3 linked regions of the Drosophila melanogaster genome follow. The protein of the gene in region 2 interacts with the protein of the main gene of each other region in a pairwise test. Each region holds a gene or a part of one and is shown on either strand. Other genes may lie near its edges. The genes, in order: CG14818, RpLP0 and Trs33.

Evidence for each region.
Region 1: the proteins of RpLP0 (region 2) and CG14818 interact in a two-hybrid assay, tested with the Drosophila melanogaster proteins (one large-scale study listed by BioGRID).
Region 3: the proteins of RpLP0 (region 2) and Trs33 interact in a two-hybrid assay, tested with the Drosophila melanogaster proteins (one large-scale study listed by BioGRID).

The regions. Positions count from the first base shown.
Region 1 is NC_004354.4:1,878,519-1,881,603, forward strand, and holds CG14818 (uncharacterized protein), read right to left. Parts: upstream 1,257-3,085; 5' UTR 1,138-1,256; intron 1,063-1,137; exon of another isoform or gene 1,041-1,062; 5' UTR 973-1,040; coding exon 894-972; intron 833-893; coding exon 621-832; 3' UTR 501-620; downstream 1-500. Other genes in the region: CG14805 (uncharacterized protein), read left to right, coding at 1-486; Coa8 (cytochrome c oxidase assembly factor 8), read left to right, coding at 2,055-2,105, 2,165-2,428, 2,502-2,717.
Region 2 is NT_037436.4:22,073,926-22,077,995, reverse strand, and holds RpLP0 (ribosomal protein LP0), read right to left. Parts: upstream 2,130-4,070; 5' UTR 2,070-2,129; intron 1,962-2,069; 5' UTR 1,860-1,961; intron 1,749-1,859; 5' UTR 1,709-1,748; coding exon 1,655-1,708; intron 1,581-1,654; coding exon 681-1,580; 3' UTR 509-680; downstream 1-508. Other genes in the region: CG7130 (uncharacterized protein), read left to right, coding at 2,362-2,748; CG7133 (uncharacterized protein), read left to right, coding at 3,660-4,070. UniProt on the Drosophila melanogaster protein: Ribosomal protein P0 is the functional equivalent of E.coli protein L10.
Region 3 is NT_033777.3:15,349,843-15,352,894, reverse strand, and holds Trs33 (TRAPP subunit 33), read left to right. Parts: upstream 1-1,899; 5' UTR 1,900-1,974; coding exon 1,975-2,043; intron 2,044-2,111; coding exon 2,112-2,501; 3' UTR 2,502-2,550; downstream 2,551-3,052. Other genes in the region: Tmtc4 (transmembrane O-mannosyltransferase targeting cadherins 4), read right to left, coding at 1-1,544; CG42727 (uncharacterized protein), read right to left, coding at 2,557-3,052.

The sequences.
Region 1 (3,085 bases), on a different chromosome or scaffold from region 2:
CTAAAGCGAATGATTAGTCCGTGGGATGAGAATGACTGTATCGAGCTCTTCGATCCGGACTACTCCGGGGGACGCAAGACACCGGAGCTGGACTACACCCAAAGTCATCCGGGTACGGATGAGGAGATAATACTCAAACTTATAGCGTCCATGAGTTCGGGAAAGAACGAGGACGACGAAGGAATTGAGGCGGAAACCAAAGCTACAGATGTCGAGGATTCCGAGGTCGAAGAAGAAGAACCTGAATCCGAGCCAATGGAAACCGCCTCCAAGGAAGCTGAGTCCGAAAAATCGTATGCAGAATATCAGCCAGACTCAGCACAGACAAGCGACGAAAGAGTGCAAGAGCTGCAGGCCGAGAATGCGCGCCTCAAAGCGCAGTCAATGCGCTTGTTCCAGATAGCTTTCAAGTATATTACTAGCGATACCAATGGCCAGGCTGAAATCACAGAGAAGACAAAGCGCAAGAAAGCGCGGAAGACATAGTGAACCTTAAGCTTGCTTTCAATTACGTTTACTTAGGACTTAGGACAAAAATACATGATAATAGAAAAAAAACAGCACTGATTGTGCCTAAAAACGATTTGGATGAACAAAACAATAACTTCTCGTAGAGGGATCTACTTGGGTGCCGCTTCGCTGCCCGCCTGCCCGTCCATGTTGTCATCTCCCGATTCGGGAGCGTTGTCATTTTCCTCGGCAATCAGGCGACGGATCTCTCGGTTGGAGTTCAGCAGCTCCCGTAGTTGGGACATAATGTCGTCTGTGCGCTGCTCCACGGCGTCCAGGGCACAGCTGAGAGCGTCCAGACTGTTGTTCACGTCCTCCATCTCTGTAGGGGTCATTCCATTAGAGCCAATCCCGAGCAGAAACGGGGCGCTGTCAAAACTCACCTTGGAGGTCCGCCTCCTGGACATTGGTGTTGCCAGAGTCGCCGGACGACGAGGGATCATGATTGTTTTTGGGTGACATTTTCCCTGGAATTTTCCCCGGAGTTTTTCCGTTTGTTTTTTCCAGTTGGATTTATTGTCACGGGATAGCTATAAACGATAGAGGTGGTTAGAAGAGAACGATAGGTCTCAGTTCAAATACGATATAAAAAAAAAAACTTAATAGGGGAATTCAGTACATACGTACGTTTTTGTAATTACGAAAACACTTTTTAGCTCAAAACACTAGGCGAACATAATCCACTGCAAAAGTCCAAAGCTAAGTTTCCACTTAGTTTTTAGGGATGTGCCCGTGCCTCGTTTTATTTTTACGTACCAATGGAATAGCATGGGAAATTTTGGCTTATTCGCATATGTCGTGCCTAATTCGTGACACGAACAATGAAACAAATGGTTTACGTATCTCTAGGCGTTGACTGGACTTAATCGAACGGTTCTTTCCCATAGTGCTTAATGTTGATTGGCCAGAGTTGACCCCTTCTGACAATGAACGGCTGTTTAATTTCTCAGAGCGATCAGCGGTCGTACTCCAACGTTTTCTGTTCGCCTGGTGTCTACAGTCGATAATCTTGCCCATTTTGACCGAAATAATTTTGAAGCATCGAATTGCGACAGTAGATTTCTTGTTGCAATCATGAGGCGAGCATAATAAACAGAAAGTGTACTAGCCTCTGTTTCTACGTTGTTTTTAGAGATGTGCATGTATATCGTTTTATTTTCACAACGCAAGCAAATTACTAGGGATTTTGGTATTTGCTCGAGCATGACGTGCCGATTGCGTGTCACGAACAGGGAAACAAGAGGGGTTCACATCTCTTCTGATACTCTTGCTTAAGCTTTGGTCTAACTGTTCACAAGGCTGCATTCCTATTGGTTCAATTGCGACTGGAAACATGCAATATGCGACCATTTTGGAAAAAGAAACTGTTTCTTGATTTTGTCGACATGTATCAGCTGGCTGGCTACTGGCTACTGGTTTCTGAACTCCAGATATTCAGTCGAGAATCGCATGCGAATGCCCGTAATATTTGCTGGCATCAATATTTAATCTGTTGCCTAGCGTGACAGTCGGCCACACTGCACCTCACATAACATAACCGAAAAATGAACAAATGTTTTAGGTGCCAGCCCCGGATATCGCTTTTCCAGTTCAGCGTGAGTCCATGAGTGTGTTGCCTTATAGGATTCGGATTTTCAATTTCTTGTTTACACAGCTACCGCGGTGCTATGCCGCAGTGCAGCCGGGATGTCCACCGCCACAAGAAAAACCCGTCGTCGGTTTGCCACACAAGCCCGATCCCAAGACGGTGAAGTGCGACTATATAGGACCGCCAGACGCGCAATCAAACCTACGTCCGTACGTACGGCACTACGGCGATGAGGAGACGCGGCTGGCAAGAAGCCTGCGTCTTAAGCGGATCGAGGTGGAGGCATGGAACACGGACTTCTGGACAAAACACAATAAGCGCTTCTACGAGGTACAACCACGACCACTGTGCCATCTCTTTCTAGTCCGCTAATGTCGTCTCTTTCGAATTGGTTCGTTTACAGGAAAAGGAAGACTTCATCCGCCTGCACAAGGAAAGCGGAACCAGCGAAGTGTCCGCGGACCAGATGAGCCACTTCTACAAAGCGTTCCTCGACAAGAACTGGCGCATCCACATCATGTACAACATCTCCTGGTACCTGAAGAACTTCGACATACTCACCCTGGCTGCCGCAGTCCAGCTCCAGAGGCTTCTGGCGCTGGCCAAGCGAAGATCTTAGGTGCAATATCTGTCGTCCCCATTTCGTAATTTCCAGTTTGCCGTTTGCAATAAGTTGGAATAAAAGATCACGTGCGTAAAATGGTGGCATAAAATTTACTTAGCTACTATTTAAGGGGATGAAAAATACACGTTGTTCGGAGTTAGTTAATGTACTTAAAAGTAATCGCAAACTATTTAAATAAAATAAAATAGAAGTAGGTGTTCATATCCTTATCAGTGTATATATTCAAAGAAGGTTGCGCACGATACACGCAGCGAAAGAAGGATCGCTCCCCATGTAAAGTGGCCGAATATTGAAAGATAACCGCTACAATTATGATAATAATAATAATGGTAAACAGAGGGGAAGGCACACACGCATAAAGT
Region 2 (4,070 bases):
CACCCCCCCCCCCTTGAGCACTCCAGGCGCGACACATCGCCGCGAGGGCGTGGCACTTTCACGCCCCAGTCGCGTAACTCATTTTCGCTCGCCAGACGAGCAGAGCAAGAAATGTGCAGGAAACTGGGAAAAAGGGAAGGAAAGTTTCTTTTGCCGCCACTTGGCACATTCTTAATTTCTTGCGTATTTTGTCAAGACAAATTGAATTTTTATGAGCGTCTCTCCTCCGTCGACGATGTCCTTTGCGAAAAGCAAAAGAAATCGCAAAAGTCGCAGCCGACAACGGCAGCAGAAACTTTAAACTTTTCTCATCTTGTGAAATTCATTTTATCGCAAGTAATTACTTTGTAAATATCCGGATGACCGGGAGCAGCTGCAGGCGGTACCTGCCGTCGCTCGGATATTTAAAGGGAAATGAAGAAAAGTGGGAAGCCTTTGGATTTTGGAGTCCTAATCCCACCATGTCCACCTATCCCGATTCGAGTGCAAGTTTAAAAGACAGTTGAGTGCGCTTTCGAGCAGTTTACAGCATGTTTAATGCAACTCGCCATTGGGTCCGTCAAACCGCGGCAATAATTTGCACATAGAAAACATAACAAAGGGTCTTAGTGGGTAAACGCCGAAAGCGGAAGCGATGGTTCGCGGGCGCCGCAGAGGGCATTCTGCAATCGGGATCCAGCTTAGTCGAACAGACCGAAACCCATATCATCGTCCTCCTCCTCTGATTCGGACTCGGGCTTCTTGGCCTCCTCCTTCTTCTCGGTAGCTCCGCCGGCCGCGGGGGCAGCCGAAGCCGAAGCAGCTGCGGCGAACTTGCTGGGGTCCTTGATGTACTCCTTGATGGTGGTCGCCTCCTTGAACTCCACCTCGGTGGTGGCAGCAATGGCCAGCAGATTCTTGAATCCGTTGGCAATGCTGTGCGGGGCCGAGGCGATGGTGGGGTAGCCCACGGACAAACAAACGGCGGCCAAGTTGGCCACTCCCTGTTGGAACTTGGCGCGCAGATCCTCGGGCTTGATGTCCAGGATCTCCGGCGAAAAGATCGAGCCGGAGTCGTAGACCTGGTTGACAATCAGACCGTACGAGAAGGGCGAGATGTTCAACATGTTGAGCAGTGTCGCCTCGGAGGCGCCGACCTTGTCGCCAGGCTTCAGGATGGGCACATCGTTGATGATTTCAATTGTTCCCTTGGAAATTTTGGTCGGGATGGACAGGGCCTGGAAGAAACTGGTCTTCTCGGGTCCCAAGCCGGTGTTCTGCGCCGGGATGATGACGTGCAGAGGGGCAATAGCGCCGGGACGGGCGGGGGCGCGCACCTTGGACTCCAGCAGCTTGTCGCGCACCTCGGCGAGATCGCCCTTGGTGAACACGAATCCCACGTTGCCCTTGATGTGGGGTAGCAGCTTCTCCAGCTGCGGGTTGTTCTCCAGATGACCGCGGATGGCCTTGCGCATCATGGTGTTCTTGCCCATAAGCACGACGGCCAGTCCACGCAGGCTGGTACGGATGTTCTGCATCTGCTTGGAGCCCACGTTGTCGGCGCCCACGATGAAGCACTTTGGGAACTCATCGAACAGTTCCTGGAGGAGGGATCAGTTAACAGCATAAGCCAGGCGCCAGCTAGTGAGCGAATTCTATAAGGTTCTATACTTACCACAACCTTGATGAAGTACTGAGCCTTCCACGCTGCCTTGTTCTCCCTAACCATTTTAATTGTGTATTAGGGACTCGTCGGGTGAATTTAAGAACTGCGAAAGGCGTGATAACGATTAGTCTTTGCTGGACCACCGCCGTGGAACAGTTATGTACCCGAAAATGCTCGGGATGCAACATTATTCCGAACTTTTAGCAACACTTACCAAAGCACAGACTTTTCGGTTTTCGCTCACAGAACGGAAAGAGTGAAGTTGGCGGCGGCACCCAGTGTGACCGCTTCGATGGCGAATAAGATACCGCACGGTCTGAAAAAATACCAAAACCGGTAAGCGATATGAATATTTTCTATTTTCGAAATGTGTAATTCCTTTTAAAGTACTCAAAAAAGATAGATTTAACAGATCATTAATTACTAATAGGCTAATAGTGCTCCTATACAGCTGCTACGATCGTCAGAATCTCTTCTGTTAACTAACAGTGCTTCTGGTGGTAAGGTAGGGTCACTCTGGCCACTGGCGGCCGATAATTTATCGATTGACTGTTTATTTGTAATAATGTTTTAAATCAGCGAATCGAATCAGCAATATATACTCGCATTACCACATAAGCACCAACAAGTCGAGACGCTGCCTCACATTCCATACACGGCGCAACACCGCTAGACGACCATCTCAGCCAGAACAAGGAGAATACCATTTCACCACAATGGGTAAGGATTACTACAAGATTCTGGGCATCGAGAGGAATGCGTCCAGCGAAGACGTCAAGAAGGGATACCGCCGGATGGCTCTCCGCTACCATCCGGACAAGAACGACCATCCGCAGGCCGAGGAGCAGTTTAGGGAGGTGGTGGCCGCCTTCGAAGTGCTCTTTGATAAGGAAAAGCGCGAGATATACGACCAGCACGGCGAGGAGGGTCTCAAATGTGATGACGAGCCTGCTGCGACCTTCGCCCAGCCCACGCCAGACATGCTCCCCTTCATGTGCGCCGTCGGAGGAACCGTGCTCTTTGCGTTCGCCGCCTACAAGACATTCCAGTTCTTCAACCGGAAAAAAGAGGCTACCCACGGCGATGGATCCTCCTCGGACTGAGCTAAGGATCCAAGGGCTTGATGAAGCAATCTCGGGTACCTAGCGTTCTTCGCTGAATAGTCTTTAAGATTAATTTATAGGAACTTAATTATTGACTGTTTATCTAATGAATCCTGCGTTACTTATTGATTAATTTATTTATTTATTTAGTAAGATAAATAAAAATTATGGAATTCGTCCGACTGTTGCTCGAAAATAGCTAATACCTTTAGCCAAATCGAATGATAAAACGGATAAATACTGTAAGACGAACTAATAGTTTTGTTTTTTTTTAATTTAAAAAACGTTTATGCGATACAAATAGTAAAAAATATAACAATGCCATAGTAGAGAAAATTAAATGCACTTGCTTATTACAAATTGTTGCTAAGCAGAGCCAGTCTGCTACTACATATAGTATGTACAAAGACACTAGAATAATAATAATAGAATAGAATAGAATAACACTAGAATATTCTAGTGTCTTTGGTATGTACCAGATAAGACGGAAATATAATGGTTTGTTCTGAAAAAAAAGACATATTTTTCTAGATTTTGTTTCTGTTGGCCACCTAATGACTCGTATTCTCAATAAAATATGATGGCAAATGAAGAAACGAAAGACGCATTTATTTTCCTTAAACAATATGTTCTTGTCGCGAATATTATTTCGCTGACACGATGACACGACAAATGACACGATGTATTTATCGATGTTGTTTCCATACAAAGATAACACACATTTCAGATGTGCATCTCTATTTGTAATGAAAGAATCAGCTTTAGTGTTTTCTCAGGTTTTCCCAGTGCCTTACATCCCGCAACATAAACATCAATAAATACCGACTTCTGCACCAAAAACCACTGACCATCGTGCTACTATCGATAAAATCATCTAATTATTCTCCCATCAAATAGACCAATTGGCCAAAATGAGCGATGTCTACGAAGATCACTACCAGGTTCTGGGCTTACCGAGAAATGCCACCGACAGTGAGATTAAGGATGCTTTTCGGCGGCTGTCCCTGCAATATCATCCCGACAAAAACGAGGATGGAGCGAAGGAGTTCCTTAGAATCAACGAGGCCCATCGCGTCCTGATTGACCATCAGAGAAGGGCCTTGTACGATTGCTGCTTCCAGTCCATGGACGTTGAAGCCATTATTCCCGCTGAGAACGCTAATGGCCAACTGCCTGAATTGGGAAATCCATTCTTCCCAATGCCACCCGAAACGCCGCCTGCTAGTTTTCGCGAAAAGCTCAAAGTTGCTGCCTTCATCGGAGGCTTGCTGGTTGGTACATACGTGGGGTACCGGGTATTCCAGAAACCGCCGCCATCTATC
Region 3 (3,052 bases), on a different chromosome or scaffold from region 2:
CAAGCCGCTGGAAATGCGGGATACGCCTGCAAAGCCAATCGAATGTATTCCTCGGCGGTGGATAGTTGACCGTGCTCCCGATACAGGTTGCCGAGGTTCATAAGAGCTGACTCATAGTTCGGATACAATTCAATGGCCCTGTGGTAGTGCTGAAAGGCTTTCGTATTGTTTCCCATATCAGTGGCCAGTCGGGCTATGTTATAGTGTACCTTGGCATTGTCAGGACACACCTGTAGCGCGGACTTGAACAACTGCTCCTCGTTAAGCCAGTCAGTAGCTCGCTGCCGAGTCCGTACCATCATAACCGAAAAGAGCAGCATTAAAAGAATCCGTAGAGCAGTGCGCCAGTGGGTGTTTTCCGTACTGCTGTCATACCAATATAAGAATCCATAGATGGACAGCAGGCAAAAGCCAATGGAGGGTACATAGAGCGTCCGTTCGGCAATCACGAATCCTACGCAAATGATTCCCGACGCGGGCAGGAACGGGACGATCATTAAACCCAGAGCTAACATCATTCCGGGCAGCCGTCGGAAGTTCATCAGAGCCACCAATACGATGGAGTAGAATCCGATGACGCCCTGCAGTCTCAGATCCCAGATGTTGGTCACCAACTTGACGCAACCCAATGCCCAGTCGTAGCATAGCCAGTGGGGGCACAGCATCAGCCAGATGTTCATGACCAGCAGATACTGCTGGGAGAGCCCACGGGTCAGCACGTGCTCATTGTGCGCAACGGGGTTGTCAACTTCCTTGAAGGTAGGCGTCTCAAAGTCCTGCCACCAAAGGCGAGCCGTCAGCAGACCCAAGGTACCCAGCAAGTAGAACAAGTAGCTGATCCGGGTGCGCAAAAGACTCCACTGATCCTTGAATCGCAGATGATAGTAGCCGTTTTGAAAGTAATCCAATAGTACACACGACATGGGGATGGTCACAGCGGACTCCTTGAACAGCATTCCCACAGCGGTGAGCAGCATGATTAGACCGCCAGTCTGTGGACCAAGTCTTCCGGTATTGGCCACGGTCAGCAGAAGACACAACAAGTGAATCATGCCGAACATGAGCTCGGCCCTTCCAACCACACCAGAAACCGCCTCTGTGTGAATTGGATGGGCGGCAAATAGAGCAGCGGAGAGGATGGCCCATCTTGCCGTGCTGACCTCCGGAACATAGAGAGAGCGAATCAATCGCCACATGAGCAGCGTGTTGACGCAGTGTAGCAGGAGGTTTAGGAACTTCATGTGGGCGGCACTTAGCCCCAGAAGGGCATACTCGCAATGGAACATCAGGGTGGTCAGTGGCCGAAATGATTTGTGGGAATCGGAACTGAGCAAGGAAGCACCCCAGAAGTCGTGCGTGAAGATCGCCGTCCAGTTGGTGGGCAGTGAGTTGACATCCCGGTTCTTGACGATGGCCACCGTATCATCGAAGACAAACTTCGCTCCACTGAGGCCACCGCATCCGTAGCATAGCAAACAGATTAACACTAGGATTGCCTGACAGACCATGCTATGCAGCGTGGCTTTGTGAACGAGGTCTAGCATACTGGATTATTTACTAATTGTCAATTGTTCAAGTTTAATTCACTTATTCTGCGAATTTTAATCGGAATTGTTTTGTATACATTTTTTGTTGTGTTTTTGTCCAAACACCCCCTCACTGAATAGTGATGCCAGATCAGCGATAGAAATGTGTGCAGCTTAGCTAAATATATGCATCGAAAAATATATGGTTATAAAATGATTTGAAATTACGCTAAATAGATCTATCAAATCTGCTCATTTTAGAGTATTCATATTAAAATAATTATACATACTCTTGATATTAAAGTATAAATAATAGTAATAACAATAAACCACTAAAAGCAAACAAGACATTCGCCCGTTAACGCTTGCAACAGCTGTTTAAATCTAGATCAAAACAAATCCGAGGAAAAATTTGTTGAACTCACAAAGAAAAATTAAATCCTCGAAAATGTCTGAAGAAATCCTTTTCGATTGCCTCCATGCAGAGATAGTCAATTATTGTCTGGATAGCAATAAGGTAGGAACACGAGGGACGCAAAAAAAAATCAGTCATACAACCGATTTTGATTTGGTTCCGCCTATTAGGAGCACGACCTGGCCACTTTGGAGTATATAGGCTTCACCACCGGCTACCGCCTGATTGAGCGGCTCACCCGTGAAGTTTCGCGTTTTAAGGACGAGTTGGAGACTATGAAGTTTATATGCACCGACTTCTGGATGCTTATATACAAGAAGCAAGTGGACAACCTGAGGACGAACAACCACGGAATGTACGTTGTGCAGGACAAGGCTTTCCGCTTTCTGACTCGCATCTCGCCGGGCACCAAGCAGCTGGAGCACGCGCCCAAGTTCGTGGCCTTCACGTGCGGGCTGGTGCGAGGAGCTCTCAGCAATCTAGGCATTAACAGCACCGTGACGGCCGAAGTGCAAAGCATACCCGCCTGCAAGTTTCACATAGAAGTGAACAGGAACTAATTAGGATGTAAGGCAATGGTTTATTACTACAATTATAGAGATACTACAGACTAGACTAGGCTATCTTTTCGTAGAATGCCACAATGTTGTGGTCAGTCCAGTTAAGGCGTTCTCGCAGGATCCACTGGTCGATGGGCAGTTGGGGCTGGGCGGGATTGGGATCTGTGTGGATTCCCAGGGCGGGCAATGGTCCAATCAATATAAGCCACTTTCCTTGATACACATTTAGATAGTCCAGAAAAGCTCCTCGATTGTTGAAGTAGCAGAAGAGCAAGGCACACGGATGAACGTCACTGCAGCATTTGGTCAATAAATCCGTATCCAGTTGGCTGGCATCCTCTAAATAGTTAAGCGGTATAAAACTTCGAACGGAGTACTTGCTCTGCCACCAGTTGCGATCGACCTCCAAGCCAAACATGGGGACTTTCCGACCTCCAGACACTGTCATAAGCCATTCCAAAAGCCCACTGCCGCAGCCGATGCTCAAAACTCGCTGGATGTCGTGCATGGCTAGCAGCTGATTAAAGTAGTCCAAGTCCACCGATGTCGGC